4 linked regions of the Pelodiscus sinensis genome follow. The protein of the gene in region 1 interacts with the protein of each later gene in a pairwise test. Links are inferred from orthologs where the notes say so. Each region holds a gene or a part of one and is shown in the gene's direction. Other genes may lie near its edges.

The links.
Region 2: the proteins of KCTD9 (region 1) and LONRF1 interact in binary tests that used the Homo sapiens proteins (3 or more experiments, as listed by UniProt). The two-hybrid records come from large-scale screens. The link is inferred for Pelodiscus sinensis from reciprocal best matches to the Homo sapiens genes KCTD9 and LONRF1.
Region 3: the proteins of KCTD9 (region 1) and TRIM42 interact in binary tests that used the Homo sapiens proteins (3 or more experiments, as listed by UniProt). The two-hybrid records come from large-scale screens. The link is inferred for Pelodiscus sinensis from reciprocal best matches to the Homo sapiens genes KCTD9 and TRIM42.
Region 4: the proteins of KCTD9 (region 1) and NUP35 interact in binary tests that used the Homo sapiens proteins (3 or more experiments, as listed by UniProt). The two-hybrid records come from large-scale screens. The link is inferred for Pelodiscus sinensis from reciprocal best matches to the Homo sapiens genes KCTD9 and NUP35.

Annotation. Positions count from the first base shown.
Region 1 is NC_134738.1:9,382,639-9,390,760, forward strand, and holds the start of KCTD9 (BTB/POZ domain-containing protein KCTD9), read left to right. Parts: upstream 1-4,926; 5' UTR 4,927-5,120; coding exon 5,121-5,168; intron 5,169-8,122. Other genes in the region: CDCA2 (cell division cycle-associated protein 2), read right to left, coding at 478-605, 2,015-2,555. UniProt on the Homo sapiens protein: Substrate-specific adapter of a BCR (BTB-CUL3-RBX1) E3 ubiquitin-protein ligase complex, which mediates the ubiquitination of target proteins, leading to their degradation by the proteasome.
Region 2 is NC_134715.1:84,012,629-84,020,361, forward strand, and holds the start of LONRF1 (LON peptidase N-terminal domain and RING finger protein 1), read left to right. Parts: upstream 1-4,336; 5' UTR 4,337-4,707; coding exon 4,708-5,317; intron 5,318-7,733.
Region 3 is NC_134720.1:12,775,043-12,782,800, forward strand, and holds the start of TRIM42 (tripartite motif-containing protein 42), read left to right. Parts: upstream 1-4,417; 5' UTR 4,418-4,488; coding exon 4,489-4,841; intron 4,842-6,444; exon of another isoform or gene 6,445-6,868; coding exon of another isoform or gene 6,869-6,882; intron 6,883-7,278; coding exon 7,279-7,758.
Region 4 is NC_134717.1:49,733,869-49,741,079, forward strand, and holds the start of NUP35 (nucleoporin NUP35), read left to right. Parts: upstream 1-4,185; 5' UTR 4,186-4,435; coding exon 4,436-4,469; intron 4,470-7,211. UniProt on the Homo sapiens protein: Functions as a component of the nuclear pore complex (NPC).

The DNA of each region.
Region 1 (8,122 bases):
TACTGGGAGCACAGCAAGACTCTGGGTATGGTGTGAGTTTTCACACCAGAGCCAGAAGCCCCAAGTGGCTTCTCCTCTGCTCCCAGCTGGAAGATGAGGCATGGGGCATAGGTGGGCTCCAGCAGGGAGCTGTGGAAAGTTGAGAGCTCTGGCTCTCAGCCCTCCCTCCCCACAGTTCCTCTTCAATCTGTGGAAGCACTCATTGAGAGGACACACATGACTGATAGGTGGGTAGTATGGAGATCAGCCACCACAGTAATTATTTTAGTGACTAAGTCGCCCTAAACATAGGTTAACTAAGATGGTAGAATAAACATGCTCTAAGTGTAATTTTCTTAACATTCAAAATCTCAACTAAAAAAAGCTTGGCTACAAAAGTAAAATAGAGAACACTGTTCCATTCATTCCAGATACCACAAATACATGAAGCTAATTTTCTCCGCTAGCCATGCTGCGCAACTCTGAAAAAATTCCCACCGTTTTGAATGGGTCTTCAGTTCTCCTCATCTTTTGCTTGGCAAGATATTGAATAAGGCTATTATTTTCAGGGGAACCCCGTACTCCAATTGTAGATCTGCGCTTAAGTTTTAAAGCCATGGATTTCTCTGAAACAAGAACAATGCAAGAAAAAGCACAATGAAACTTCAGGAGAACACTTACAAGTATTTAAAAATACCAGGGAAATTGCTTCTATTTAAAAAAATGTAGGCATTATATAAAGTCTTGTATTTGGTCAGTTGTCTTCATTAGAAGAAAAAATAAAAACTGCAAGCATTTGAAATCTTGATAGTGTATTACATAACTCACAGGAACAATCAAAAGACTGTTAGAGAAGGAAAACTCCACAACAATTTTGTGGAAGAGGTGAAAGAAGGTCGTGTGTGCGCACGTGCGTCCACCCACCCTCTCTCTCTCACGGAAAGCATAGAACAGTTTCTTTGCTTTGTGTGTATCCAGAAATCAGGCACAGTACTGGTATACAGAAAGGGAAAACAAGAAAAGGTCTTTACAGAAAGTAAAAACAAAAAAGCTCAAAAGGAAAAACTCTTTCATATCAACTCTTGGGTATCCCCTTCCTTGACAGCATGAATGTTCCTTCACTCAACACTTCTCCACAGTACAAGAACCAGAAGATAGAAAGTTAATGCTGTATGACCAACATAAACTTTCATGAGAAGTTCTGCTAGAATTCCCAGGTTTGGGGCTGTGAGTGGGCGAGAATAGTGCCATGCAAAACTACCCTCCCTCAGCTTCCTTGCATCAGAAAAGCCAAAACAAAATAAAAACCCACATTCCTAATTTGAAGTCTAACACTGTTTCCATGGGAGAACTATATTGACAGTTCCTAGATCGGTTTGAAAACATGTTTAGCAACCTATTTAACATCCTCCTTTGCTCTCTTTTGTGCCCTTAAACAGGAACAGTAGAAAATGATGATGTAAACATCACTACAATATACATAAAAAGTATTGCTGTGAAACAATCATGGTGTAATTATCAAGGTGTAAATTTACTGTCATTTGGACATCAGGAAGAAACCCTGTCTACCTACTGATCGTGAAATCTCACACTTAGTTTTACTTATGAAGAGCCTATGCCACTGACAGAAATAGCCAAATTTGGCTATAAAAGAATGTAGGAGGAAGAAAGCTCTGTTACCTTTTCAAAATTCCTTCCATCTGATCCTATTCCCATGAATAGGCTTAACAGAGCTCTAGGAAGTCATAGTATTTCCCCTCTCCCCAAGAAAACACATGTTTAATAGCAAATTACTCTATACACCAGCTATAATGAATGTTGGACAATTCTTCACAATTTCCATCTCCTGTACTATTTCCAAATCACTACTTATAAAACCTATATCTGTGTTATCAGAAATTGTCCCAAATGCCCTGAAATCTTCTGGACCACCATTCACAACCACCATTAAATATTTAAGAGAATGTTCTCATTCACAAATGAACCACAGTATTTTGAAACATTCATTCCAAGAGTCACTTTGCTAACCCCTTACCTATAGATGGCTTAGCAGTAAAAGACTCTGGAGTAATCCCAAATTCAGCTATAGTTACACTTGCAAAATCAACAGGTGTCTTCATTACATTCTCTGATGTTTCACAATCTGGTTTTACATCTGCTTCACCTTTATCAGGTGTCACATAGCTTGCATCATCCAAGAATGTAGGGCTGCCTTTTGAAAAAGGACTTTGAGGTTTGTGTGCTGTCAAAAAGGACAAGGAAGGTTGAAGTAAGTTTCCCTTTAGTTTAAAAGAAAGGCTTTTGTTTACTGCCAGTTTACTATCATCCTTGCTGTTCTGATATGATTTTCTCCTTATGTATTCGTTGCATTTTACTCCAGGTTTAAATACATGTGTAGATCTCAGGTCATTTAAATTTTCAATTTCTGAAAGGTATGAGCTTTTTGATTCATCCATTTTGACAAACTTGTCTTTTGGAATGGGCAGAGAATAAACCTTCTCTTCTTCAATAAGTCCTTTCAAATTTTCTTTGACATCAGCAACAGTATTTATAATTTGTCTAGATTTTCTGCGCATTGTCAGTGCTGTTTTCTGAGCTTAAAAAAATATGACCAGTCTTGTTGCTCTCTTGTAATCATGCGTCTGTCATTAAGACGTCGTCATTATGTTTTTTTGTAAAAGCAATCACCATAACATGCAGACATCAAGCCATTAGAAGATACTGCTGCCATTCTATGGAGAGAAGCATGAAATGTTAGCTATGAAGTTTACTGTAAATATCAGATCTTATATGCATAACATTCTGACGTATGTTGATGTCTATATTAAACACAAAAACCATCTAAGCTAATTCAACATTACGGTGGAGATTTCCAAATCACCACCTCACGAAATCTAATACCACCATCTACATGTTTTGCTAGTCTATAAAGTGCTACCATATCATTTGTTGTTTTTTTAAAAATGCACAAGCCAGTACTCACTTTCATTAAAGAAATATCCAGCTTCTGAGATAATGATCATCTAGAGCACAACAGGATAAATCAGTTTGTTCATTTAAATAAAAAGATGTTATCTAAGTATGGCAAATAGGATAGTGAAAAGTTAAACAGAAATTCATGCCCAAAATTCAAAGCAGTATAAGCACAAGTCTTGCACCTGAGCATCACAATGCTTAACTAAGTGTGTCAGGCTGTGACAAAATGTTATTAAAAGAACATTGTAACAACATGATGCTGCAGGTTTATTCAATATCAAAGTGGGCCTTCCTGCTTTGAAAAGCTCAACACCAGTTGGCAGATGGAACAGAGTATTAAGAGTAAGTTGATCCTTTAAAATAACAGGTGTTTTAAGAAGGGGGAAAAGCCTGTTATACCATGCTGTGCATGTGGCATTGTTTGACATATATGAATGGGAGGCCCAGGTTATCTACTTTTAGTTGTTTCATTGTTCCCTTTATCATACTAAAATGTGACCATAGATTGGGAGCACTTGGTGGTACAGAAAGCCTGTCATTCAACTGGGCAACAAGGTGAAATGGAGAGTGAGGGCAATGGGTAGAAAAGAAGACGGGAAATTTTGTTGGGCAAGCATGCCGAGTCACAGCTGCTGCTCACTGCTGCACATTCTTGACCCCCATCCAAGGGGATGCAGCTTGAAGGGAGGGGGGGGGCGCGCACAAAGAGAAAAGGGAGCATATTCCACATATTCTCAAGGGGATCACAGGGGCATGTAGCACATGACAAAAAGAAACCCGGTAACAGGGGCCAACACAGCTCCAGGAGGGGCAGCAGAGAAGAGCCCCTGTGCCCAAGGGTCTATCAAGCAATATCCACCCAGCCAGCAACTTCCTCCCTCCCCAGCCCATTCTCCAACCAGTTGTTTCCATGGGCATTTCCTCAACTCCTATCATACCTGCCCCCCTCATTAGCCTCCCCCACCCCCGCTCCCCCTCATTAGCCTCCCCCACCCCCGCTCCCCCTCATTAGCCTCCCCCACCCCCGCCCCCCCTCATTAGCCTCCCTCACCCCCGTTATCTGCTCCCCCTCATTAGCCTCCCCCACCCCCGCCCCCCCTCATTAGCCTCCCCCACCCCATTATCTGCTCCCCTCATTAGCCTCCCCCACCCCCGCTCCCCCTCATTAGCCTCCCCCGCCCCCTGCCCCCCTCATTAGCCTCCCTCACCCCCGTTATCTGCTCCCCCTCATTAGCCTCCCCCACCCCCGCCCCCCCTCATTAGCCTCCCCCACCCCATTATCTGCTCCCCTCATTAGCCTCCCCCACCCCACCCCCGCCCCCCCTCAGCCTCCCCCGCCCCCGCCCCCTGCCCCCCTCATTAGCCTCCCCCGCCCCCCACCCCCCTCATTAGCCTCCCCCGCCCCCTGCCCCCCTCATTAGCCTCCCCCGCCCCTCCCCCTGCTTCCGCTCCCCCCTCACCCCCAGCGGCTCCTGGATCCCGAACGATCCGACTGAGGAAACTCCACTAGGCTAGACGCGCCTCTAACATTCAAACTCACTGCCTCCTCCATGCACGTGCGTATCCCTCCGCAGGCTGGGCCAGCGCTGAGGCGCCTCCCCTGCTAGCCCCACCAATCTGCGCATGTGCCATCCGCCTCATGGAAGGGGCAAAGAAGAAGGCTGTCGCTGGCAGACTTAGGTGCTCAGTCTCTGCCGGCGGCTCAGCGACACGGGACTCTTTTCCCTGCAGCGAGTCCCGGCAGCGCGCAGGGAACAGAGCTTCGTCGCGATTGGAGAGTTCTTAGTTTTGAAATAGAGCCCATCAAACGGCCGGTCCTTCCCTCACGTGACATACACGAGCCAATCAGAAGGCGGGGAGTGAGTCGACCCCCCTTTTATGCAAATACGCCTCATGCCATTTGGCCGTGAAGGGTGACGCCCTACTCTTTTCAAGCTGCCTGACTGTAAGAGTTCTGATTGGCTACAACCGAGACCCCGCCCCCCCCCGAGGCAGACCGCCCCCTGTCAATTCTCCCTGCCTAACCTCCACACACCTGCACCAATGAACGTCCCTCCCACCTCTGCATTCTATTGGGCAAGAGGAGGGGGAAGTGCGGCTCTGGTTGGGTCCCGGCCTTGTCAGTCACCGCTGCTGGTTTCCGGGTTTAGAAGCATCGTAGGAGCATGAGGCGGGTCACCCTGTTCGTCAATGGCACCCCCAAGAATGGGAAGGTGAGGGGGCAAGGGGCTCTGAGGAGAAGAGGGCGGGGGGACTCCGGAGCTTGCATGGTGGGGGAGGACGTTTTGGGGGGGGCATGGGGACCCTGAGAAGAGGTGGGGGAGGGGAACTAATAGGGGGGGTGCGCGAGGGAGAGGAGACGTTGGAAGCGGGAGGGAATGCGAGGGGGGGTTAAGGTGGGGGAGGAGCCTAGTTAGGGGCGGGGTTTGAGGGGTAGGTGTTGAGGGGGAGGAGCCTAGTTAGGGGCGGGGTTTGAGGGGGAGGTGTTGAGGGGGAGGAGCCTAGTTAGGGGCGGGGTTTGAGGGGGAGGTGTTGAGGGGGAGGAGCCTAGTTAGGGGCGGGGTTTGAGGGGGAGGTGTTGAGGGGGAGGAGCCTAGTTAGGGGCGGGGTTTGAGGGGGAGGAGCCTAGTTAGGGGCGGGGTTTGAGGGGTAGGTGTTGAGGGGGAGTTAAGGCGGGGGAGGGGCTTAGTTAGGGGCGGGGTTTGAGGGGGAGGAGTTGAGGGGGAGGAGCCTAGTTAGGGGCGGGGTTTGAGTGGTAGGTGTTGAGGGGGAGTTAAGGTGGGGGAGGGGCTTAGTTGGGGCGGAGTTTGAGGGGTAGGTTTTGAGGGGGAGTTCAGATGGGGGAGGGGCTTAGGTAGGGAATGGGGTTTGAAGGGTACTTTGGGTGAGGACATGGAGGGAAGGCAGTGTAGCTCTCAGGAGGAGCAGGACTTGGGGGGCACGGGGAAAGAATGCCCCTGGTGCCCTGTTGGTAGGTGAATGCTAAGGTCTCGGTCTGTGTATCTTTGTGGGTGTCGCAGGTTTGTGGATGGGAATTATTGCCTGTGAATCACAGTGTAAATCCTTGGGGGGAGAGGAGGTTGTGGTTGTTCTTGCAGGTTGTGTTAATTTGGCTGGGGTAGTGGGTAGATATTGTAAATCTTGCTGCTGCAACTCACACCGTTCTCTGGTGTAATGTAAGTACGGGCTGTAGAAAAATACAGGATTTTTTTTTAAACATTACAAAACGTGGGTTTTTAAAAAATATGTAACTTTTTTTTTTAATGCGTAGCAGCCTCTGTCTGCTGGGAGCTTGGACTCCCCACAAACAGGGGCCATTGCCAACACATGCTACTGCCTTTCTATCAGAAGCTCCTCTCGTGGACTGGCTCCCGCATGCCACCCCGCTCTGCTGCCCCTGGTAGCTGAGAGTGTTGGTGGCATAGGGTTTGAGGAGTCAGTATAATCTGATAGTCCTGCTGTAAGTGTGCCAACTTGAGAGAATTCTGTAGTCAGCATGCACAGAACAGATTATGAACAGGAGGCTACCAGACAACTCACCAGCACCAGCTTCTACAGGCTTCTCTCCTATGATTCCACTAAACACCAAAAAGAACTAAACCACCTGCTCATTAAACTTCCTGATACAACTCAGGACCAGATTTACACAAACACACTCACAAACACCAACCAGAAGCTTTATATCTGCTACCCAAGATCCACAGACCTGGGAAACGCATCATTACAGGACAGTCACATTTTCATCACCTTATAGCGGAAACCTACCGACTGTTATAATTACCTGCATGCCTCTAGCTTCCATTCAACACACATTTCTCAGTCAGTTGTGTGACGGGGTGCGGTCACAGATGACCCCTTGGGGTTGCCTCCCAGGGTGCTGACACCGCCACTGCCACTGTCCTTCCTTCTCTCTGGGGCTCCTCACTGTCTGGTCTGGCTGGGCCAGTTCCGTTGGTCTCCCCCAGCCAAGGCCCTGAGCTGAGATCCCTGCCCCCACGAAGAAGCAGTACAGACACTGAACCACTCCAGGTCCTAGGAGAGTGCAGTTTAGAACCCAGCCTCCTGAGAGAGCACTCCCCAGATGGGATCAAACCCCAAAGAATTAGGTAAGCCCCCTTTAGCAATGAAAGGGGGAATGTGCACACTGGTTGCCTCCCCAGGTAACAATCGCTTACACTGGGTTTGATAGAAGATAAACATGGTTTTATTAAGTTGAAGCAGTAGGATTTAAGTAGTAATAAGAGAAAGTAGGTAGAGCAAAGTAGGTTACAAATAATCAAAAGAAACAAAACCGCTTGGCTAATTCTCCACTGAAACCTCAGTGCAAACTTAAACTCACCCTAAAATCTCTTTTCCAGCTGCCACTCTAAACCAGGGTTCTCTTCCCCAGCCTGGGGTCTCAGGCTCCTTCCTTCAGGTGCAGCTCAGCCAAAAGATCCAGGCCTCTGCTTTCCTATTCCTTTTGTTAAGGAGTTGAGGCCACTCCCTACCAGCCACTGCTCAGACTTAAGGATAAAAGATTGTTTAACAGTGGCTCATCTAGAATTTGCAGGTAACGCCCTCCATGTCTCCCATTCACACATTTGAAACTCACCAAGTATTCCCCACTCCTTGTGTCGAATTTTGTACACACAAATGACACATACAACAGAGTAAGATAAACAGAACCAGCAGATCATGACATGAAGATCAATAGGTTACATGAAATAATTCGCTCAAACCACCTTTGAGTTATGTATATGCATGTCCAAGAGTCCACTTTGTAAAGCATGGGGGAAGGGTCTGTCACTTAAAACTTAAATACTAACCTGGAGAAGTGGAAAAAACGGATTGACCGAGCCAGACGAGTACCCAGGCATCAGCTTCTGCAAGATAGGCCCAACAAAAAAAGCAATAGAACACAACTGGTCATTACCTAAAGCCTCCAACTTAAACTCCTACAGTGCATTATTATCAATCTGCAACCTATCCTGAAAAATGACCCCTCACTCTCACAGGCCTTGGGGGCATGCCAATCCTCACCTACAGACAATTCTTTCCCGTAACCACATAGTTCACCATCATATTCACCCAGGAACCCACCTCTGTGATCAACTCTGGTGCCAACTCTGTCCACACATCTATACAAGCGGCATCATCACAGGACGTAACCACATCAGCCACCACT
Region 2 (7,733 bases), on another chromosome or scaffold:
ATCATTCACTGTTTCAGAAATAGTGAATGAACAGTGAATTTGTTGCTCAAATTTTAGAGCTCCAATCTTCAGACCCAATTTTCCCGGGTACATTTGGCTCAGTCAATCTCCACTTAAGACTAATTAGACATTTCAGTTTGGGATTGTCTATTCTATAGCCCTTTTAGCATGTCTGATCTAATAACTTATATACTGTATTTAAGATTGTGTCAGCTATCCTTATATACATCATATATCCTATTATATAATCTATAGCCAAACTCCAATTACTGTTATTTAACTTCCCAGTTCTAAACTTAGCATCTGATCCTTGTATCTCCACAACCTTTGCCCCATCAGTGTGGTGATCCCCATTTTCCTATATTGTGGCAGAAACTTTTGCTAGATACCTTCAACTGTCTTTGTCTGCCTTAAATGTATAACAATCTGTTTTTGTGGCTGCTCTTACCATAGTACCAATAATGCAAAACCACCAATTGCTCTTTTTTTTACAAACCAAATGTATGTGTTTGAATTGTTCAGTGAGATCATGAACTAGATCAGAATCCACTCTATCATACATATTAGACACAGAACTGTACTTTCAGATATAATGCTGATCAGATTACATCTTCCACAGTACTGGTTGCTCCCTCTTTTGGTGAACTTCTGCAAAGTTCTATGGAAAATTCCAGTCTCTGGTCTCCTTTTGCTGATCTTGATCTGCAAGTCCAACTCCCAGCATGTATTAGGATGTAAACAAGTCAACTATACAATTAACCGATAAACCTAAGCTTATCAGTTAATCTAGTTGACTACTTACATTTCTCCCCTTGTGGCCTCTATTTGAGAGGCCACAAAGGGCGGGGGGAAGGGAGCTGGGGGGAGCTGGTGCTAGGGGGAGCCAGCTTAAAAGCAGTTTCTCTCCACCTGGCTGCAGGGGAGGCTTCCGCAACGCAATCTGTGCCCACAGGGGCCCCCAGTTCCCTCCACTGGGACCCCCAGCAGAGGGAGGCAGCAGTGAGAGGTAGCCCTGCCCCCAGGGACTATAGATACAAAACTGGTCAAGATAGTTATGTCCACAGCAGACTGCAAAGAACTTAAAAATGACCTCACAAAACTGGGTGACGGGGAAACAAAATGGCAGATGAAATTCAATGTTAATAAATGCAGAGTAATGCACATTGGAAAAAATAATCCCAACTACACACATTGTGGCAGAGCTCCAGTCATACCACTGAGTCCCACACTTCCTTGTGGATTTTTATTATGCCTCAGAGGCTCACAGTGACACCCCCCCCCCACTACTTCGTCTATTCCAGAGGCAAAGGTCCCCACTTAACAAGCCATCTTCATCACAGGCAAGTCACTAGCTTGGGAGTAAACCCTTCCATGATCCTAGAGTCTCCTTCCCCCCCGTGGCAGCCTACCAGGCATGGGAAGGATTGGGGGCACCCAGTCCAGCCGTTACTCCAGGTTCCAGCCCAGGGTCCTCAGTGGCAGCCACTACTGTGGCTTTTGCATTTATTCTACAAAATAGTAGCCTCCCCCTGGGCCATTTCCCTCGCCACTCCCACAAAACCTTCTCCTTGGCACTTTGGTAAAAACCTCTCTCAGTGCTTCTTCATGCTGCACTTCCTCCCCTCTGGTCTATTACTCTTCTCCTCCCTCCCCACCCCCCCATACCTGAGGGGCAAACCTTTTATAGTCGACCAGCAGGCCTTAACTGGCTGCAAGTCTCCGATTGGCCTGCTTCTGCAGGACAACTCTGAAGGATTCTCAGGTGCCTGACTGTCTTGGTTACTGAGCAAAAGTCTTTGGCAGCCTATCCAGGAAACAGGAACCCACTCATCCAACTCCTGGGCTGTTGGAATAAGGAATAAGGGACCTTTCGGAAAAGGCTTTATTTTCCGAAAGATCCCCGTCTAGACTGGCACTTTTTTCCGGCAAAGCCCCGCGCCGGAAAAAAGTGGCAGCCATGTTTATACAAATGAAGCGGGGATATTTAAATCCCCCGCTTCATTTGCAATTCCGACTTGTCTCATCTGCATCCCTTTTCCAGAAAAGGGGTGCAGTGGTAGACACAGCCCTGGTGTACCTACTGTCCACCAAACTCCTGCAGCCCACTGCCTTTGATCTGCCACGATATAAAATGATAGGGTCTAAATTATGTTACTACTGAAATGAAAGATTCTGGAGTCATCATGGATAGTTCTCTGAAAACATCCACTCAATGTGCAGTTGCAGTCAAAAAACATATAGACTGTTGGGAATCATTAAGAAAGGGACAGAAAATATCTTATTGCCTCTTTATAAATCCACAGTGCACACACATTTTGATTAGTGTGTGCAGATGTGGTCACCTTATCTCAAAAAAGGTATATTGGATTTGGAAAATATTCAGAAATGGTAACAAAAATGTTTAGGGGTATGGAATGATTTCTGATAAGAGAATAATTAGACTGGGACTTTCCAGTTTGAAAAAGAGACAACTAAGGGGGATATGGTAGAGGTCTATAAAAGCATGACTGATGTGGAGAAAACAAATAAGAAACAGTTATTCGTTCCCTCCTATAACAAGAATTAGGGGGTCACCCAATGAAATAAGTAGCAGGTTTAAAACAAACAAAAGGAAGTATTTCTTCACAGGGTGCACAGTCAGCAAGAGGATGTTATGAAGGCGAAGACGATAAAAGAATTTAAAAAAGAACTAGATACATTCATGAAGGATAGGTCCATCAATGGCTATCAGCCAGGATAAGCAGGGATGGTGGCCCTAGCCTCTGTTTGTCAGGGATTCAGAGATAGGGCATGGATTACTTAGTGACTACCTGGTCTGTTCTTTCCTTGTGGGGCACCTGATATTGGCCACTGGCAAAAGACAAGATACAGGGGTTTGTTCTGATCCAGTATCGTCTTTCTTATGCTGTCATAGGCTTCTGATTGGGTTTCTTGTTTTTCTCTGGGTTCTTCTCTGTCCTCCCTTCCCCACTGTTCTCCCCACCATCTACGTAAACACTGCTCCAAATCTCCTGGACACACCTTTCATCTGAGATGGGGCTGATGCTTACAGGTATGTTCACTTTAATGTGTGACCCTTTAATATTATTGGCTATGACTAGACTGCCCCCTCTTGTGCAAGAGAATATGCAAATGAGGCAAAGTGGTGAAAATTGCCATGCCTCATTTGCATACTTAAGCTGCCATTTTTGCGTAAGGGACGTTTGCGTAAAAAGGAGCCATCTACACAGCTCGTTTTTGCGCAAAATCTCCCTCTTGCGCAAGAGCAGTTCTTTCTGAAAAAAAGCAGCAGAACAGCTCTTGCGCAAAAGCCCCTAGTGCAAAAAATGGTGGCTCATTAAGTAAGCAAATGAGGCATGGCAATGCTCAACTCTTTGCCTCATTTGAATATTCTCTTGTGTAAGAGGGGGGTAGTCTAGACATAGCCATTAGGGTTTTAACTCACCCCTTTAAATTCCACCCAACTCCTAATAGGTCAGGGCCTAGTGTACAATCCTGGTTCAAGAGGGATGCTCTTTGGCTTTACAACATCATAAGCAGTCTCTACCTCTAAGAACAGGCACTGAGTTATATGGGCCTGTGATGCACCAGGTCCAGAAATACTCTTTGCTCAGTCCAGGCTTCACCAAAGTTCACTACCTGCTGTTTCCTGCCACCCCATGTGTGTGCCCTGGCCCAGACTGCCGTTCCCAGCTGACTTAAAAATCCTTGGAGGGCCCCACCATCCCTACAGCCGAGCTTGAGCCCCACAGCTGCCGGCATATGGCTTCCCGTGCGCGCTGCAGCACAGGGAGAGGGTGTCTGCAGGGCGGGTGCTTCTCCAAGGCATTCTTGACGCCACCAAAATTTCTGCCCCGCTGTCCCCACCATGCTGTAAGTTGCAATGCCCCCTGCACCACCCAGGGGCAGTCCGGCACTTCCAAACACCTGCGCAGGCTCAAAGAAGCATCTGGAGCCAGAGGCCCGCCGGCGTGGGCACCGCTGTGAAAAAAGAAGTGCACGTGTTTGGCGGCGGGGGTGTGAGCGAAGGGGGAAGGTACTGTCCTATAGGTCCCCCTATAGGGGACGCTGTAGCGCAGAGGATCAGGCATTCGCAGCACAACAGGGCCGAGTCTTCGCTGCCTGTGACAGCCTCTTGTACACGGGGTCCCGCCCAGCCCCGCAGAGAGGCTGCCTCGCAGCTCCCACTACAGCGGGGCTCTAACCTCCCCAGGGCGGGAGCTTCACATGCGCAGTCTCCTCCTACTGCCTCAGGCCCCGCCCACTTCCCGGGCGGGCTCCGCCCTGGGCGCCTGCACGCCTCCAGGCCCCGCCCTCTCCTCGCGGAGCTCTGGCACGCGGGGAGCGTCGAACTGTGTTTTGTAATCTCCTCCGCCCCTTCCCCCACGCCGTGCCTCTCAGCCAATGGAGAGTGCCCGTTGTGGTCAGCTGACGCAGCTTTTTATGTAAGCCAGCGGCGGGGATTCACCCGCCGGTCTGCGCCGAGGTTTGAAAGGGGGTAACGGTCTAACGACCCCTCCGTCAGGCTGTCGCGCTAGGGCGCGCTCGTTCCCCGGTCCCGTGCCCCTCCCCCTGCCGCCAGTGCCAGCACAGGGCCGTGCGCAGAGCCGAGCCCAGCCTGGCGAGGAGCCGGAGCGGCGCGGCGAGCGCCACACCCCCTTGTGGGATCCGGGCGGCTCGCGGGGCAGGGTGGGGGCTCGCAGCAGGATGGCGTCGTCGGTGGCTGTGAGCTCGGAGGGGTCCCCGGAGTCGGGGGGCAGCGGGCGGCCCCGCGGGGAGCCCGAAGGGGAGCAGGAGCGGCTGCTGCGGCGCGGGGAGCTGCTGGCCCTGGGCAATCATCTGAAGGAAGCGCTGGAGACTTATTCGGCGGCGCTGCGGCTCGGGCCGCCTGCGGGACCCCACCGCCTCGAGACCCTCGTGGACTGCCTGGTGCTGAACTACCGCTTCCGACAGGGGCTGGGCGGGAGCCGCGGTCAGGGGACTCCGGGGGAGGGCGGCGGCGGCTCGGCCGCGGGGCCGCTGACTTGCTGCGGCTGCCGGGGCTTCCTGGGCGAGCCGGTGACCGCCCGGTGTGGGCACAGCTACTGCCGCCTCTGCCTCCGGAGGGAGCTACGCTCCCGCTGCCGCCTGTGCCGGGACCTGTTGCTGCCCGCCGGGCCGCCCCAGCTCCGGACCAGCGTCGTGCTCAGTCAGTTGGCGGAGAAGTGGTTCCCGGCCGAGTGTGAGAGGGCAAGGACCGGCAGCCGGCTGGGGGAGCTGTTGAGCCAGGGGCGCTTTCGAGAGAGCCTAAGCGCCGTCAGCCAGGCCCTGCAAGCAGGTAACGGACTGGGGTTAGGGGAGCTCAGCTCTGTAGCCCAGGGGGCGCTTCGGTTGGGTGACACGACAGGCAGAGTCTTGGCTCCTCGGCTGTGTCGCAAGGAGCTGGCTTTTCTTGTCAGTCCTCTGACGCTTCGTCTTCTCCCTGCCCCCCTTCTCCCAGTCCCCTGTCTAGCCCGCCAGGAATCAGTCGGGTACGAGTCGAAGCTGGGAATGAAGTAAGCTGCTGAAATCACGAGGGGAAACTGGCGCAGGGTTCGGCCCTTTGAAACAAGCCTGACGCATGCTAGAGCTCCAGAGATGACTTTTGCTAATGTTGCTAACTCCCCAGAGGAATGAGTAGGGAGAGAACCAGAAACGTGGGGCTTTCTGAGGAGTGGGTGGTGAACATGTGAGGGTTATGTGTGGAGTGGGGCACACTTGCTACAGCTCTACTCCACACTATTTTCCCAGCATAGCTGTGCCCTCCCTCTAACATAGACGTTGTTGGAAGGAGATGGTCTCTCAGAACCATGCCAGCTGTATTTGCTTTCGTTACAAAGAAAGGCCTTTTTTCTTAGCCTCTCAAGTGTGTCACTAAGACAGTTCCCAGCAGGCAAGGCCTAGTTGCATAAGCAGATGGGATATGGAGGGGGACAGGTTGTGTAATGCTAGTGACATCACAGATGGGTGTGGTAGAAGTTTTATAATACTGTACACTGTTGGGAGAGAAGGCAGGGGGAAATGAATGGGTGTGCTTGGATTATTATTGATCATTGACAACATGCTTGGGATTGCACAGATTCCTGTCTAATCAGTGAGGTTGGTGTAGGTCATCTAGGTATTTAGACGTTATAAAGGTGGGCAAGATAAAACATTTATTCAGAATAATGCTACATTTCCTCTAATGGTGCCTTAACCAAATTCATTCTTCCATTCTGAAATTAAGTGCTGGTCTCTTTATTTTCGCTATGGTTGATCAGAAATTTAGTCTTGTGTGTTTAGCAATGATACCTTTATTAACACTAAATTTTTAATATTTTGGCAGTGTATATGTGGAATTGCCAGCTGCAGGAGGGTGGGAGTTTAGATATCAAGCTAAACAGATTCATTTGATATCGTTGTCTCTCTGCATCTAACATTTCTCCCCAGTATAGATCAGAAATTTTAGAATAAGCTGTTGTCAGAATCAGATCTTAAACGGGAGTGTTGCAGACTATTTCAAACATCTTTTGGAAGCATAATATATGTGGTTGTAAACTGTTTCACTTATAACAGTGTCCTAAATTAGTTTTTAGTACTGTTGTAGCATCCTGTGTAAGTGGAGCCAAAGAAGCATGGAGTGTCCAGAGGGATTTATTTTCTAAATAGAGACTTCTTAAGAATTAAAATAGTTCATTTTAATGATCTAGTAATGACCTAGAATTTAGCATTGCTAGGGAATCCAACAAATAAAGCATAATCTAAATGGGTTTCGGATTATAAATGGGTCACTATACTTATAAATGTTTTATATGGAAGACTGCACCACTGTGGTTTAGGGTTTTTGAAATAGAAGAAAGAAATTTATTTTTCTGGTTAAACATTAAGAACATAAGGGTACCCCCCCCCCCCCCCCCGTCCTTCATGGCTCTGCTTATGGCTTTGATTGTCATAGTACAAGTTGAACCTTTCTAGTTTGGCACCCTTGGGAATTTGCTGGTCAGTAGTTACTAGCGGGATTACCAACACTTCCACTGCTTACTGGACTCTTCGAAGAAATTTGGGGTAAATTAGAGCTAAATAACAGCACAGAACAGTGAGAACCCGGACTGGTGACAAAGAAATTTTATGGGATTATGGGAAACTTGGCCACACCCATAAGTGGACATTGAGACAATGGATTTTGATAGACCAGAGAGTGCTGGACTAGTGAACTTCAACCTGTACTTAGTTTACATTTAGGTTGGGGTCTAACCAATGGCTGATAAAATCTGAAAATACAGCTTTCAATCTTAAACTTTCTTTTTTTTTAACACAGATTATTCAAGCAACTATTACACTGTACACTTGCATACTCAGACTGAGTCTTCATACATTGTCTGCAGGGCCGGCCTTAAGCCGATTTGGCCGAATCAGGCCCCACGCCTAAGGAGGCCCCGCACCTGGAAGTCTGCTCATCTCCCCCTTGCCTGCGCATGCTGCCGGCGTTTGCAGGTGGGCGGGGAGATGCCTGGGTGTGACATGACGTCACGGCCTGGGATTTTAAAACTGTTAGTAGCAGGCGGTGCGTGGCGCCGTGAGGCCTAGCTTCCGATTCCTCTCCCTTGGGGCCCCCTTCCCCGCCTGGAACCCAGTGCCCTTCCGATCCGGCTGCAACCCCTTGAAGGGCTCGTGCCGCACATGTGAGCTGTCGGCGGCAGGAAGAGCGGCTCCGACCACAGCTTCCCCTGCTCCAC
Region 3 (7,758 bases), on another chromosome or scaffold:
TGGATAAATGGACTGTAAAGTGCATAGAAAGCTGGCTAGATTGTTGGGCCCAATGGGTAATGATCAACAGCTCAATGTCTGGTTGGCGGTTGGTTTCAAGCGGGGTGCCTCGAGTATCAGTTCTCTGGCTGGTTTTATTCAACATCTTTATTAATGACCTGGATGAGGGGATGGATTGCACCCTCAGCAAGTATTCAGATGAAATTAAGTTGGGGGAAAGGTAGATATGAAGGAGGGCAGGGATAGGGGTCAGAGTGACCTAGGCAAATTGGAGGATTGGGCCAAAAGAAATCTGATGAGGTTTAATAAGAACATGTGCAGAGTCTTACACTTGGGCTGGAAGAATCCCAATCACTGTTACAGGCTGGAAACCAACTGGATAAGCAGCAGTTTGGCAGAAAAGGACCTGGGGATTACAATGGATGTGAAGCTGAATATGAGTCAACAGTGTATCCATGTAGACAAGAAGGCTAAAGGAATATTAGGGTGCATTAGGAGGAGCATTTCCAGCAGATCTAGAGACGTGGTTATTCCCCTTTATTCAGCACTGGTGAGGCCACATCTACAGTATTGTATCCAGTTCTGGGCCCCCCCACTACAGAAAGGATGTGGGTCCAGTGGAAGGCAATCAAAATGATTAGGGGGCTAAAGCCCATGACCTACGGGGAGCAGCTGAAGAATTGCTTTTCTGATGTACTTATCCAGAAATTCTTCCTGAATACAACCCATAAAGAGATTGATATATTGTAAAGACACCCTACTCTCCATGGTTGTTTCAGTCGTTTGGATGAACTGTTTGTCATTGAATGTAAAATTGTTATGGGTGAGGATGAAATGGATAAGTTTGGTGATGTGTTTGGGGTAGACATCTGAGTGTTGCCCATTTTCTTGTAAACATTTGAGATAGGCAGCAATTCTATCATTGGGAGGGATGTTTTTGTATAGGAAGGAAGTGTTGGTAGGCGGCAAAGGATGGTGCTCTGAGGGAGGTTGTTAATGTTATAGGTTTTCTTCAGAATGTCAGTTGTGGCCCTTTATGTGTCAAATAGTTTGAAAATTCCTTCCATAATAGTGCCTTGGCCATGGTTCCTTTGTTTGTATCTCGGGAAGCATAGAAGGTCCCTTGCATGGGTTTGTGAGGGATTAACATTTTCTTGTATTTCCTGAGAAATGCCGTCAGTGCTAAGTCAACCATTCCCTTCCCATGCCAGTGAATGACATCGGCATCAGACATACCATCTACTGTCAGGTCTTCATCCATTTAGACAAATTTGGGTAGGGAACAGAGTCTTCAGGAGCCACCATTATTGTCAGGTCAGGATTTACTGTTGTGGTGTCCTGATAGGTCTTCTGCTCTGTCAATGATGATAACTAGAAGGCTGCTTGCATGTGCTCAGTGATGTGTGCTGTGTTGACTTGTAGAGTTAGTTAACACAGCAGACTTCAAGAAAGCCCGCAAAGACACAAATCAGATAAGGATCAAAGGTGCCCAGTCAGGTTTATTGTTAAGCGAAGTACAGTAATAGTTGTCAGAAGATTCTACCAAGCCACTATGTATAGGTACACCAGAAAAATGGACCCCCAGCTGTTCGAGGGAAGCCTCAACCTCTGTCTGGGAGTACAATTCTTCCACCTGCACCCCATTGTGCACCACCACTTCTAGCAGCTGGACACCAGTTCCAACTGGTGGGACCGGCTTGTGATGGAGCAGTGGGGCAACCAGCAGTGGCTCCAGAATATCCGAATGAGGAAGAAGAACTTTCTGGAGCTGTGTGCCTGACTTGCCCCTGCCCTCACATGATGGGACACTCAGATAAAACCCCCCATCTCCATGGAGAAGTGGGTCGCCATCGCTATCTGGAAGCTCGCCATGCTGGAAAGTTAGAGATCCATTGGCAATCAGTTTGGCATGGGGAAGTTGACCATTCAGGTCCTCATTGTGCAGGTATGGCACTCTCAGGCTGCAATACCAGGAGGGGGGTAGGTAAAGTGCTGGAAAGGGAAAGTCTAGGGAAAGGGGGGATGGCTACATTAGAGGGTGGCACCTGGTGTGGGTGGGCATGAAAGGGGGGGGCTTGGTGGCCTCTCAAGGACTCTGTCACCCCAGTGATTCTTTGTCTCCTTCTGTAGGTGGGGACAGCCATCAACACCATCCTGCTGTGCAGGGTCATCCAGCTCAACAACATGGACCTCACCGTCACTGGCTTTGCCACCATGGGCTTCCCCAACTGCAGGGGGGGGCTATTGATGGCACCCACGTCTCCATCCAGGCCCTCGACCACCGGGAATCTCTCTACATTAATCACAAGAAATACTTTTCTATGGTCCTCCAGGCCTTGTTAGACCATGGCAGGCAGTTTACAGAAATTTACATCAGGTGGTTGGGGAAGGTGAAATAATGGAATTGCTGTATAGACGCTCACATTGTTATTTCAGAATAATGACTGTTATTCTGAAATAACAGTTTAGCATAGATGCATCCTCAATGGCTATGAGTTACACCAGCTTTCATGTAGAACAGGACTGAACCCCTTTCCTTGGGATCTGTCTGTAGCAGCAGAGGCCTTTCAGGAGCCTGGAGCAGACTATCAAAAGAATCAAGATTGGATCCATGATAAAAATTGTCAACTTTGTAATGTTTGGAAGGAAAAACTATCTTCAACGGGAAGGTCTTGTACTGAGGACACAGGGCCAGCTCTTAGGCATCCTTGATTCACTTAGGGTATGTCTACCCTAGCTCGGTAGTTCGAGCTAGGTAGGCAAATGAGGGCAACCGGAGTTGCAAATAAAGCCCGGGATTTAAATATCCCGGGCTTCATTTGCATCTTCCTGGGTGCCATCATTTTTAAATCCCCCTTAGTCCGAACTCCGTGCCCGTGGCTACACAGAAAGAGGTGTACCGCTACTTCGAATTAGAGATCCTACCCTCATTTGCCTATCTAGCTCGAACTACTGAGCTAGTGTAGACATACCCTTGCTGGCTTTGCCGCAGACTTTCTCCATGAACTGGGATAATACACTTAATCCCTCTGAAAATCCTGCTGTTTCTCATCTGTAAATGGATATCATGCAGATATAAAGGGTAGATGCTGAAATTGTGCCTCTAGGAATGAAGTCTTTACATCACCAATCCAAAGTGATGGGAAGAAACTGGAAGAGGAGGAATTTTGAAGGATGATACAGGAGTGGGGTGAGTGGTCATCTTCCCTGAAAAAGATACGCCCATATAATGGTAGGAGAAAAATCCTCATGTTCTCTGTGGCAAGCTGCATCTACATTGTGCTGAAAGGCTCCCTATGTATCTGCAGTACAGGCAGTCCCCGGTTACGTACAAGATAGGGACTATAGGTTTGTTCTTAAGTTGAATTTGTATGTAAGTCGGAACTGGCTTCCAGATTCAGCCGCTGCTGAAACTGACCAGCGGCTGACTACAGGAAGCCCGAGGCAGAGTTGCTCTGCCCTGGGCTGCCTGGAATCAGCCGCTGATCAGTTTCAACAACAGCTGAATCTGGATGCCTAGGACAGAGCAGCTGGGGCGTGCCGGGTAGGTCCCCGCAGGGGCAGCGCTGCGGGGGCCAACTGGGCAGCACCCCAGCTGCTCTGCCCCAGGTGTCCCCAAGTCAGCCGCTGCTGAAACTGATCAGCGGCTGATTCCAAGAAGCCCGGGGCAGAGCAACTCTGCCTCAGGCTTCCTGTAGTCAGCCGCTGGTCAGTTTCAGCAGCGGCTGAATCTGGAAGACAGTTCCGAGGGGCTGGGGCTGCGGGGCAGCCCAGGTGCGCCTGGGCTGTCCCGCTGCCAGCTTCCCCCGAGGCTTTGCAAAGCCTCGGGGGAAGCCGGCAGCGAGACAGCCCAGGCGCACCTGGGCTGCCCCGCTGCCTGAGCCCCTCCGCAGCTTTGCTCCGCGTCTTCCTGGTCTGCAGACCAGGGAGACGCGGAGCAGCTTTTCTCGCCCCGGAGTACACGGGCGGTGGGACCGCAAGGTCCCGCAGTCCGTGTCCTCCGGGGCGAGAAAAGCCCTGTTCATAACTGCGGATCCGACATAAGTCGGATCCGCGTAAGTCGGGGACTGCCTGTACTTTAGACATTCTGAGGCAAATGATTTCTTTCAATAAAGTCACGAATAATACAAGCAGTGTAGTGTTACTTGTGTTTATTTTATATTGCGTTCCATTTATATTATGGTGCTCCCAAAGTTTCAGCACAGTTCAGACTTTTCTGCTGGAAATTCATAAGCACCACTGGATGTGGGGAGATGTGGCTGCTGCTAGCTCACATGCAATTCTGCTAGTACCAATACAAGAAACAGCACAGGTCGATCTTAGTAATTGTGACATAAACGTGATGTAATCAGCACATCACTTACATTGTCCTTTGTTAAATAGCTCCTTGTGACATCATTATTCCTAACTGGAATGAGAACCATTTACCCCAGCTCAAAGCTATTTAAAAAGTGCTACTGTGTAAAGTGATCAGTGTTTTGTGGAACAATGGTCAGTATGTTATGCCTCAGCTGGCCATGTTGCCCAGGCTGCCGTTGCTGCCCCCCACTGCAAAGGACTGATCAAGAATGCTGTTCATGCTGGCGTTTTTTCTTCACTGATGAGCGGAATTGTAGCTGTTGCCCCTGCCCATATGCAGAAGGCAGAGCTTGCCAGTGTTGTCACTGCTCGTGTTCAGAGAATCCAAATTGTCGTTGGTGCTGCTGCTCCTGTTCAAATGACCCAGACTGCAAATGCTGTTGCTGTACTTCAGAGAACACCACCTGCCAATATTATGAAAGCAGATGCTGCAGGAATACCCTCTATGCATCATACCTTCCCAGAGCCAGAAGACGACACCAGTAAGTGCATTGGAAGAATGATTCTGAATCAGGAGGAAAATTTAAAAAATCATCTGTGTACCCCAAAACCAAACTCACACCCTGAACTTTTATTTCAATTTGGATCAAATGAAATGTTTTATTTCCATCATTTCAAAATGCTCCATTTTGCTGTTGCTCTTTAAGCTATAGATTTAAAAAAAAAAGATATTTTGAAGTGGGCAATTAGAATTTTTCATTTAGAAAATATCAAAATGGTTTGACAATTTTTCAAAACTTTTTTCCTGAAATTTATTCAAGGCTGAAAATTCTATGAAAAGGACTCTGTTTTGTGAACTGTTTGGATTTTAACAAATTCCCCCCAGCTCTAAGGTGTGTCTAGACTGCAGGGATTTTTCGAAAAAAGTGGCCTTTTTTCAAAAAATCTTTATCTGCATCTAGATTACTGCCTCATTATTTCAACAATAAATTGAAAGAACGCAGTTTTTTTTTTCAACCATGGTAAACCTCGTTTCATAAGGAATAACGCCTTTTTTTGAAAGTGCTCTTTCAAAAAAAGGCTCTATGTAATACAAACTGTGCTTTTTCGAAAGAGAGCATCCAGGTAGTCTGGATGCTCTCTTTCAAAAAGGCGGCTTGCTTTTTTGAAAAAGAAATGGTTGTAATCTACACGCTCTTTTTTGAAAGAGGCTTTTTCAAAAGAAGTAGCTTTTTAGGCAGTCTAGACGTAGCCTAAGTGAGTGAAAGCCCGAGAAAATGAAAGAGAGGAGTGTGCAGTGAGATGGGACACATGCTTTCGAAAGAGGCATATGAAGTCTGATGTAAGAGAAAAATGCTGACTGAGGGTATGTGTACTCTAGAGGAAGATCGAAGCTGCCGCTGTCAGTCTTCCAGGGTTCGAATTAGCATGTCACGTTAAGACAGCCAATTTGGACTGTGAGGGATGGTCCAGTCAATGCCGGTAGCCCTGCTTTCACAAGAAGTAAGAGAAGTCGAAGGGAGAACATTCTCGCTTCAACTTCCTGCTGTGTAGACAGCGCCAAAAGTCGAGTTAAGGTACTTCAACCTCAGCTACGCAATTAATGTACCTGAAGTTGTGTATATTAATTTTACTTTATCCCATAGTCTAAATGTACTCTAATAGAAAATGGTGGGCAAGGTATGGGAGTAGAGGAAAATGAAGAGTCAATTGCATAAAAAATCTTCTCAAAAGAGTAAAAAGATGGGATGATGCTAGTTTTGAGGGGAGGGAATTGAAATACGTACAGCACCAAGCATAGATTACATTAAGGAACCACAATGGGGGGAGGGGGAGATATGGCTCTGAGAAATTGTAGCCAGACCAAAGTAGTGCTAGTAACAATAAAAAGTTAGACTGCGAGTAGAGAAAAAAACTGATTGATCTGCTGAGCTACATGACACGTAAGTGATTCTTGCCTTTAAAATATGTAACTCTGGCTCTGAAAGGGCAGCACTAGGAAGAATCTGTTTATTTATGATATTACACACAATAATTGATACATGCAGGAGGGGACAGGCAACAGCCGAGGGGGAGAAGCAGCAATGTGGGAGTGTGTGAGGAGCTTTGGAATATGGGATTAAACAGCAGCAACAAGCATGGAGAGGAAAGAAAAGTAGGAGTGAAGGCAGCATTAGAGAAGCAGGGAGTGGGTACAAAGCCACAGCCAAGTCTACAGCAAAGACTGAATGATGAGGCAGCAATTTTATCTCATCGTTCTAGTGACTATATTAACCAACTGAGCTTATGTCATCTTCATTGGAATGATCGTGGAGAGACAGTTGGCCAAGTTTTTCAAAAGTGACCAGGAAGATTCCAAGTGCCCTGCTGGATACACATTAGACATAGCCTGACTTACAGAGCACTTTCTGAAAATCAGGCTTTTTTAAGGCATCCCAAGTCAGGCATTGAAAACTTTAAAACACCCAACTCACTTTTTAAACTTTTGTCCACAAAGAATCTTGAGTTGGCAATAAGGTGCCATTATAACACTGACTTTGATTCTCCTTGTAAGTCAAACTACAGTTAGATGCAGTTGTTGAGGTACCTTTTTATTTTACTATTCACATGTATAACAACTCATTATAATTTAACATGCAAAGCATATAAACAAGAAAAAGAGATGAAATTAAATACAGGTGTTTGCTAGTGATGTTTGTGTAACAGCTGCAACACTTGTGGTTGGTAATGGCAAAAGGAATATCTTGCAAAATAAAACAGGCAGCTTCATATACACTGTACAAACCAATATGCAACTATTACTGTGAACAGAAATGCTCATTGCATGTACTGCTGGCAGAAGAAAGCACAGTCGTAACCTGTTTCTTTAAATAAAAATCTTGGGGAAAATAGAAATTGATGGGGTTGTACAACATGACCATGTGCATTAGAATCTGTTTCTTACCGAGAATCCATTTTGGGGGGGGGGTTATTTTTCAGTTCAAAAGTTGCCTTACCAAGGTTTCGAAGTAAAAGTGACACATCAATCATTACACTGGAGAGAGATGCATCAGGACATGCTTTTCGTGACCAGCTCACTTGTCCATTGTGTAAACAACTATATCTCTACCCATTTATGCTGCCATGCAACCACTGCATTTGTGAGAAGTGTATAGATAAAAGAAAAGCCCAGGCTGAAGTAACTGAGAACTTCTTCATCATCATATGCCCAGTGTGTGTGAAAGCACACTGCCTCCCTTACACTAATAAAATACAGCTGAACATGAATTATTTGAGAGCCAAACTAGCTAGGAGATACATGCGCAGACATGGCTTTCTGAGGTGGAGATTTGACAAAACCCGAGCATCGATCTATTGTCAACTTTGCAAAGAGAAGACAAAGAAGGCATCCAAGAGATGTCTTACATGTCGAATGAATTTTTGTAATGAGTGTCTAAGGTTATATCACAGCGAGGTCAG
Region 4 (7,211 bases), on another chromosome or scaffold:
AACAAAAAAGTAGTCAATATAATGGTCTTCTGCTGATACAGGCAGTCCCCGGGTTACGTACAAGATAGGGACTGTAGGTTTGTTCTTAAGTTGAATCTGTATGTAAGTCGGAACTGGCATCCAGATTCAGCCGCTGCTGAAACTGACCGCCAGTTCTGACTTACATACAGATTCAACTTAAGAACCCCAAGTCAGCTGCTGCTGAAACTGATCAGCAGCTGATTCCAGGAAGCCCGGGGCAGAGCAACTGTGCCTCGGGCTTCCTGTAGTCAACGCTGGTCAGTTTCAGCAATGGCTGACTTGGGGACGCCTGGGGCAGAGCAGCTGGGGTGCTGCCGGGTTGGTCCAGTAGTGCCCAGAGCGGCACTGCGGGACCAACCGGCAGCGCCCCAGCTGCTCTGCCCCAGGGTCCACAACAAAAGCCTGGTCTGCTGGGGGAGGGGGGCACACTAGGACACAGGGAGCAAAGCGGCAGCGGGGGGGGGGTGCCTCGCCTCTGAGGCTTTGCTCTGGCGCGGGACCGCTTTGCTCCTGGTGCCCCTGGTTTGCTGGAGACGGTCCCCAGCAGACCAGGGGCACCGCGAGCAAACCCGCAGCCGCGGCTGGGTCCCCGCGCTTCTGAGGCTTTGCCAGAGCAAAGCCTCAGAAGTGCAGGACCCCGCCACGGTTGCGGGTTTGCTCGCGGTGTCCCTGGTCTGCTGGAGACGGTCCCCAGCAGACCAGGGGCACCGGGAGCAGCTTTTCTCGCCCCGGAGGTCGAGGTGGCTGACTGCTGCCTGTGCGCTCCGGGGCGAGAAAGCCCCGTTCGTAAGTGCGGATCCGACATAAGTCGGATCCGCGTAAGTCGGGGACTGCCTGTATATGTTTCAGTAGTTAAATTCCTGGACTGTCATTACTCATTAGAAGTGCTCTCCATGGGTAGAAATTGGGTAAATACTGCATTTTATTAATATCAGCAGAACTGACTTAAATGGGGCGTGTGTGTGGTGTATTCTTGCCTTAATCTTTGTATTCATGCCCATCAATGTGAAAGAAGCTATTTGCATATATATTTGCAAGTATATGCAACCACACTTAAGTTGCAGCTCTTGGCATATGCTGAGAGTATCATTGTGGCCCTCAGGCTTTCCAAGGTTGAGTAACCCTGCCTTGAACTGTCATTTCTGAATTTAAAGATCTACGAGTGAGAGGAGGGTAAATTCATTTTCCCCACAATTAATACTTCTGCTTTTTATTTGTGATTTGATATCTGGATCAATTAGTGTAGCTTAGAGCAGCAGTTCCCATCTGCTGGTCTGTAGACTGTTGCTGGTCTGCCTACTGCTGGCTGCTCGGCTGGTAACATTTTATTTACATATTTATTATTTACATAAAGAATACGCAAATAAAATGTGGCTGGTCTGCCAAAAGTTTGTGAAAGGGTTTGCCGGTCAGCAGTATGAAAAAGTGGTTCCCAACCTAACTTAGAGACCAGCTTTTTCCCGACATTCTTCCATTGAATACAGCCTCTGAGTTATGAACTTGGACCCCATTTAGTTACACGCGACCGCGCTGTTCGTAAGCGCAGGTCGCGTTCATACCTCGGGGACCGCCTTTATGACTGCTCCATGGGAGCTTTGGTCGTAAGTGCGAACAGTCGTAACTCAACCGTTCGCAACTCGGGGAGCAGCTGTATGTCTTTCCCAGGGTGGTGAGAGAACAATCAAATAAGTTCTGCTTTGTTTGAAATGGTAGTTTTAACTGAACTGTCTGTGGTAGTAGCAACAGAAAAAGAAAATAAAATACAGGCTCAGATAATAAACTTACTCCATTTACTTTAATACCAAGTCCAATCTTTACCCATTCTAGCTTGTCCTAAAATCTAGATAATAAATGGTTCTTATTATAAAATGTGTTGGTGTTTGCTCTTACGTTGATCTTGCAAGGCAAGACAGATTTTTATTGAATTCTGTGGGTTGGCCAGACAGTAAGGAGCCTTCCCTTCCCTTCTTGCATCCTGTTCAGAGGCTGGCCACAAACCTCCGTAAGAATAAAGGAAGTGCTTCCAGTGGAATTTTCAGTGACCTTAGTCTCCAAAACAGGAGGGGAAAACTTACCTTTTCCTTTTTATCCCCTGCAACACACAGTACTTAGGCCTGTTCAAAAAAAGTTTTGTTTTTTCAGAGTACAAAACTACAGTTCCAGTTTGCACTCTCTGAAGCTGTCCACTCTGCAAGTCCCAGGTTATAGTTAATATATTACAACCCACAATGTTGTGTACACTTTCTTCGAGAACAAGGAGAAAATACTGCCCTCATTTGCACCCATTGAAACCAGTAATATTAACTGGTTTAAAACTGAATTTGAGATGATATAAAGAAGTAGTGACAAAAACAGAAGTTTGAAGCTGAGCTACCTAAAAGAGGTAAGATGATGGTGGAAAAATTAGTTTTTTTTCTTTAAGTTATTTGCCTCATTGTCCAGCCTTCATAATTGGGATAAATATCTCAAGGTGAGAAAGTCAAGAAAAAAATAGGTGTGAGCTTTAAAAGTTTAGATTTAATTTCTTTACTACAGGCAAGATGTTTGGTTTCACGATTCCACATTTCTGATGTTTCAATTTGCAGTAGAAATGAAACAATACAGGGGTTGGGTGGGTTGAGTATAAATGTGTGTGTAAAATGAGGGACAACTGAGAAGTTTGGCTATAAATATATAGTGCCTTTGGGCATTGGTAATATGACTTGATAGATATTGATATTTATAAATTATGGCCACTGTATTTGATCATTATTGGCAAATCACGTATAAGCTAAACTGGAAAGTATACCCCAAGTCTATTATCAGGAACGTTAACAATAGGGATGTAAGTGACTAGTTGACTATGCAATAAGCAAACGCTTATTGTTGGGTAGTTGACTAGTGACTTGATGAGTTGTTCCACCCCCTTCTTCCCTCCCCCCCCCCCCCCCCGCCGCCTCTATTGGAAAGAGTGGAGAGAGGCAGCAAGGGGGGGCAGGGGAGAGCAGGACCCAGAGCTGGGGAGAAGCTGGCTTAAAAGCCAGTTCCCCCAGCACCGTCACTGTGTGGAGAAGGGACAGGGGTGCAGTGGGGAACTGGCAGTGCTTCTGCCCTTGAAATGAAGCAAGAGCAGGGTGATCTGCAGGGGCTCTTGCACATTTCAAAAGCAAAGTGCTGCCAGGAGCTTGGGGCCAGTAGGGGATCCTACTGCCTTTTTAAATTGCAAAGCTGTAGTGCAGTTTGGTCTCAGCACATGTCAGGACTGAGCTGGGCTGCCTGCCCAGCCAGTAGCAGCTCCTGTCCATGGAAGGTCCCAGTGGGAAGCTGGCACTCCCCACGGACTGGGGCTGCTATCCCTGAAGCAACCCCTGGCCATGACGCCTGGATGCAACCAGGGATTGCTTCGCAGCAGCAGCAGCCCATCTGTGGGGTGGGGGGCATCCCAACTTCTCATTAGGACCCCCCACAACCAGGGGCGCACCTCCCTGCCTCAGAGGAAGCAGGGACCTGTGGGGGAGACAGTGCTGGGGGGAAATGGGTTTTTAAGCTGGCTCCCCCCACACTAGCTCCTGCTCACCCCCCTTTGCTGCCTCTGATATAGAGGCTGCAAGGGGGGGAGGGGAATGCGAGTAGTCAACTCATTGACTAATCTCTTACATCGCCCTTATTCTTGTGTACCTCAAACCCTCTCACACTCACAATGCACTTGGACTGTGGTGTGCAGACAGCTCTTGTTTTTTCAACTATTTTGTTATTTAAATGGGGGAAAGGGGAACACTGCAGCGTCCTTAGTTGGACACAAACATTTAACATGAGGTCGCCTAGTATTTTATTTGTAATGATGATGCAAATCTTTAGACCCTTATAAAACCAGGCAAATTAAATTACTTCCCAGGCAACTAGCAAATCCATAAAAAAAGAAATGGCCTCAGGGAGGTGAACCCCAAGAAGCCCGCCCTGGGATCTGAAAGGCAACCTACGCTCTACCCCGCCCCTTAACCCGCGAGCCTGTCCCTCCTCCAAAGCCCTGCCCAGCCCCCCCCCTTGTACTGCGGCCAGCGGTTGGGATTCGGGAGGGGGCGCGAGACGTGGTGCTGGGCACGTGACAACCTCACAGAGCGATAGCGATGAGCCCGGCATGGCAACGGGGAGGGGAGGGGAGGGGAGGGGAGGGGGCTCTTTATCGGCGGCATCACGCGTCCGAGGTTCCCTGGCGGGGCAGAGCAGTAGCTAAGAGATGCGAATGCCAAACAGCCTCAAAGTTGCCGTGGCCGCGCCCCTTCCTGTCCCGAAGACACTCTCCCGCAAGATGGCTGCCGGGCGAGGCGGGAAGTGACGTAACCCCAGCGCGCCTCGCGGCAGGCTGAGCTTCCGCTCTGTTTGAAAGTGTTCGCCGCGGCGGCTGCTGCTTCCCGCGGTTGTGGGTCTCCGCGCGATGGCGGCCTTCGCCATGGAGCTGCCGCCGGCTGGTGAGCAGGGGCCGTTGTTGCCGCGGGGCAGGAGGGACAGACCCGGGGCCGCCGTGTCAGCGGCCTGGCTCCCCGTGTGTGTCGCTGCGGGCTCCCCGTGCCCCACGTGGTAGCGCTGCCGGGGCTGAGGGCGCTGCCAGCTGGGCAGCTGCCCACAGGCCTGGCAGCGCCTGCGGCTTCCCGGCGGGAGCTGCTGCCTGGCCGGCCTCGGGACCCGTCCCATCATGGCTGCGCGGTCCCGGGCCCGACGAGCTCTCCCTCCTGCCGGGGCGGGGGCGGGACCAGTAACCGCGCCCAGCGCTGCGCGTCATGACACTCGCGCGAGACGCTAGAGGCGCCTGGGCCGGCCGCTGACACTCCGCGGGAGTCAGGTGTTGACACCCGGGCCTGAGCCACTGTCACTGCTGCCGGGTGGCTCAGCCGGGTAATGGAGTCGGAGTTCCTGGCTCCGAGCTGCAGCAGGGCACGAGGAGCAGGGACAGTCGGATGTGAAGTTGATTTATTGTTTTGTTAAAGTATCAACTATTTGACTGTCCATAAGGTGTCTCTGCCTTTGAAGTGTAGAAACAGCCGTAGGGCCCTTGCTGCACTTTAAAGGCGAAAGCTCCACATGGAGCCCAGGGTCAGCTGGGGAGTACTGAGCTGAGCCCAGGCTCCAAGCAGCGCTGCCACTTTGAAACATTGTGGTGGGAGCCTGGAGTCAGGCTCCTCACAGCATTTCAAAGCTGGGAGAAGCCTGATGCTGGGATCCTGCAGTGGCATTTGAAAGCTGCTCCACAGGGTGCTGCTGCTTTGAAGTACCCCTCCCCCCTACCTCTTTCTGATAGAGGCAGCAAAGGGGGCAGGGAGCGACTAGTTGTCAAGCTTGTTGACTATCTGCTAACCATTTGCTTATCGTGTTTCCCAATTGGTGTTCAGCAAAGTGAAAGTAGGGGTTCTGCCAGGAGCCAGCACTCCCCCACCCCCTCTAACAGAGAGAGAGAGAGAGCTCCAGCTACCAGCTTTCTTAAAGAAGCAGCACACTTGTTTCCCCTTCCTCCCTGGTGATGCAGAGGCATAGCAAGGCATGGGAAGAATGGAACAGCTGCTCCCAGCTGGCACACTGGGGGGGTGCCAAAAAGGGGTGACCCCACATGACCCACAGCGGGGAGGGAAGCACTTCCCCTCCCCAAAGGAACCGGCACGCACTGCCTGAATGGCTGTGGCACCTGGTAACGTAATTCCGTGGCCTTTCTGTGCGGGTGCGGGAGGGGGATCAGGAGACCCAGGTCTGTGCAGTTCCAACTGTGCAGGCAGCGCTTTCTGCCCTGGGACTCCCCTCCTACCTACCTGCAGGATGGCATCATGGAAGTAAGTTGCTGGAGTGCAACAGCCCCTGCTGTTCAGGCAGTGTGCACACCAGCTGTTTGGGGAGGGGAAATGTAGTCACACACTTCCTGGAACCCAGAGGTGCTGCAGAATTGCCAGGTACTGGTTCCAGCTGCCCCTGTCCCCTGCCCAGACCCCCCCCCCCCCGATTACCCTGTCCCCTGCCCCCATCAACACTGTGCCTAGCACCTTGTCCCCAGCCCCAGCACTGCCACCCATCCCAGGACCCTGTCATCCACCCTAGCACTTGCATCTCCCTGTCCCTAGCCCCAGCACCTTGCCATCCACCGCAGTCCCCGGCCCCAGCACCCTGCCATCCACCCTAGCACCCAGCAGCACCCTGTCCCCAATCCCAGTATGCTGCCATCCACCCTAGCACCCAGCAGCACCCTGTCCCTGGCCCCAGCACTCTGCCACCCATCCTAGCACCCAGCAGCACCCTGTTCTTTGTCCAGCACCCTACCACCCACCCCAGTGCCCAGCAGGACCATGTCACTGACCCCAGCACCCTGTCACCTGTGCCAGCATCCTGCCACTCAGCAGCACACTCTCCCTGGCCGCAGCACCCACTAGCACTCTGCCTCCACCAGCACAGTTGGGACCATGTTAGTGAGGCTTGGGGGTTTTGTAGAGGGTTTTTTTTATCTCACTTGTGTGGCCCCAATTGACTTTTCTGTGGAACAGTGACCTTTGACTCAAAACAGGTTTCCCACCCCTCTCATTAAGGCAATGCTAAAACCTTTTGAGTTTGACATAATATTTTATTTGAAAATGGAGTCTGGCCAACATGCCCCCAGTTGGGGCCAAATCCCCATCTCACTGCAGCATCATAACACTCCTGCACCGCCTGACCCCAAATCTGAGCCTATCATACACTGGAACCCCCTGTCCTGAGCCTCTTACATCCCCACAATCCTGCATCCCCACATCCTCACTCTTCTGTCCCAACACTCCTGCACCATCCACACATCGCAGATCCGTGTCCTGAGCCCATCATACTCACAGCCTCCTTACTCTGAGCCCCTCACATATCCAACCCAAATTCCTGTACCCTCACATCCACAAGCCTGTGACTTGCTTGGCACCCCAACCCTTCACCTGAGTCCAACACTTCCCATCCTGGAGCCCCCTCCCCAAGCCAGCGTGCCCTTCTGCATCCAAATTCCCTCCCAGAGCTTGCAGTTCTCACCCCGCCCATACCCAAATCCCTCATTCCCACCCCTGAGCCCCAGGTCTCCTGTCTCAACTCAGTGAGAGTGTATAAGGGCTGGGGATAGCAAGTGATAGAGAGGAGGGGAACAGAGAGGATGGAGCCTCAAAGGGGTGGGGAAGGAATGTGGTTTTCATGCATTGGTGGGTTCCCATCTTTTTTTT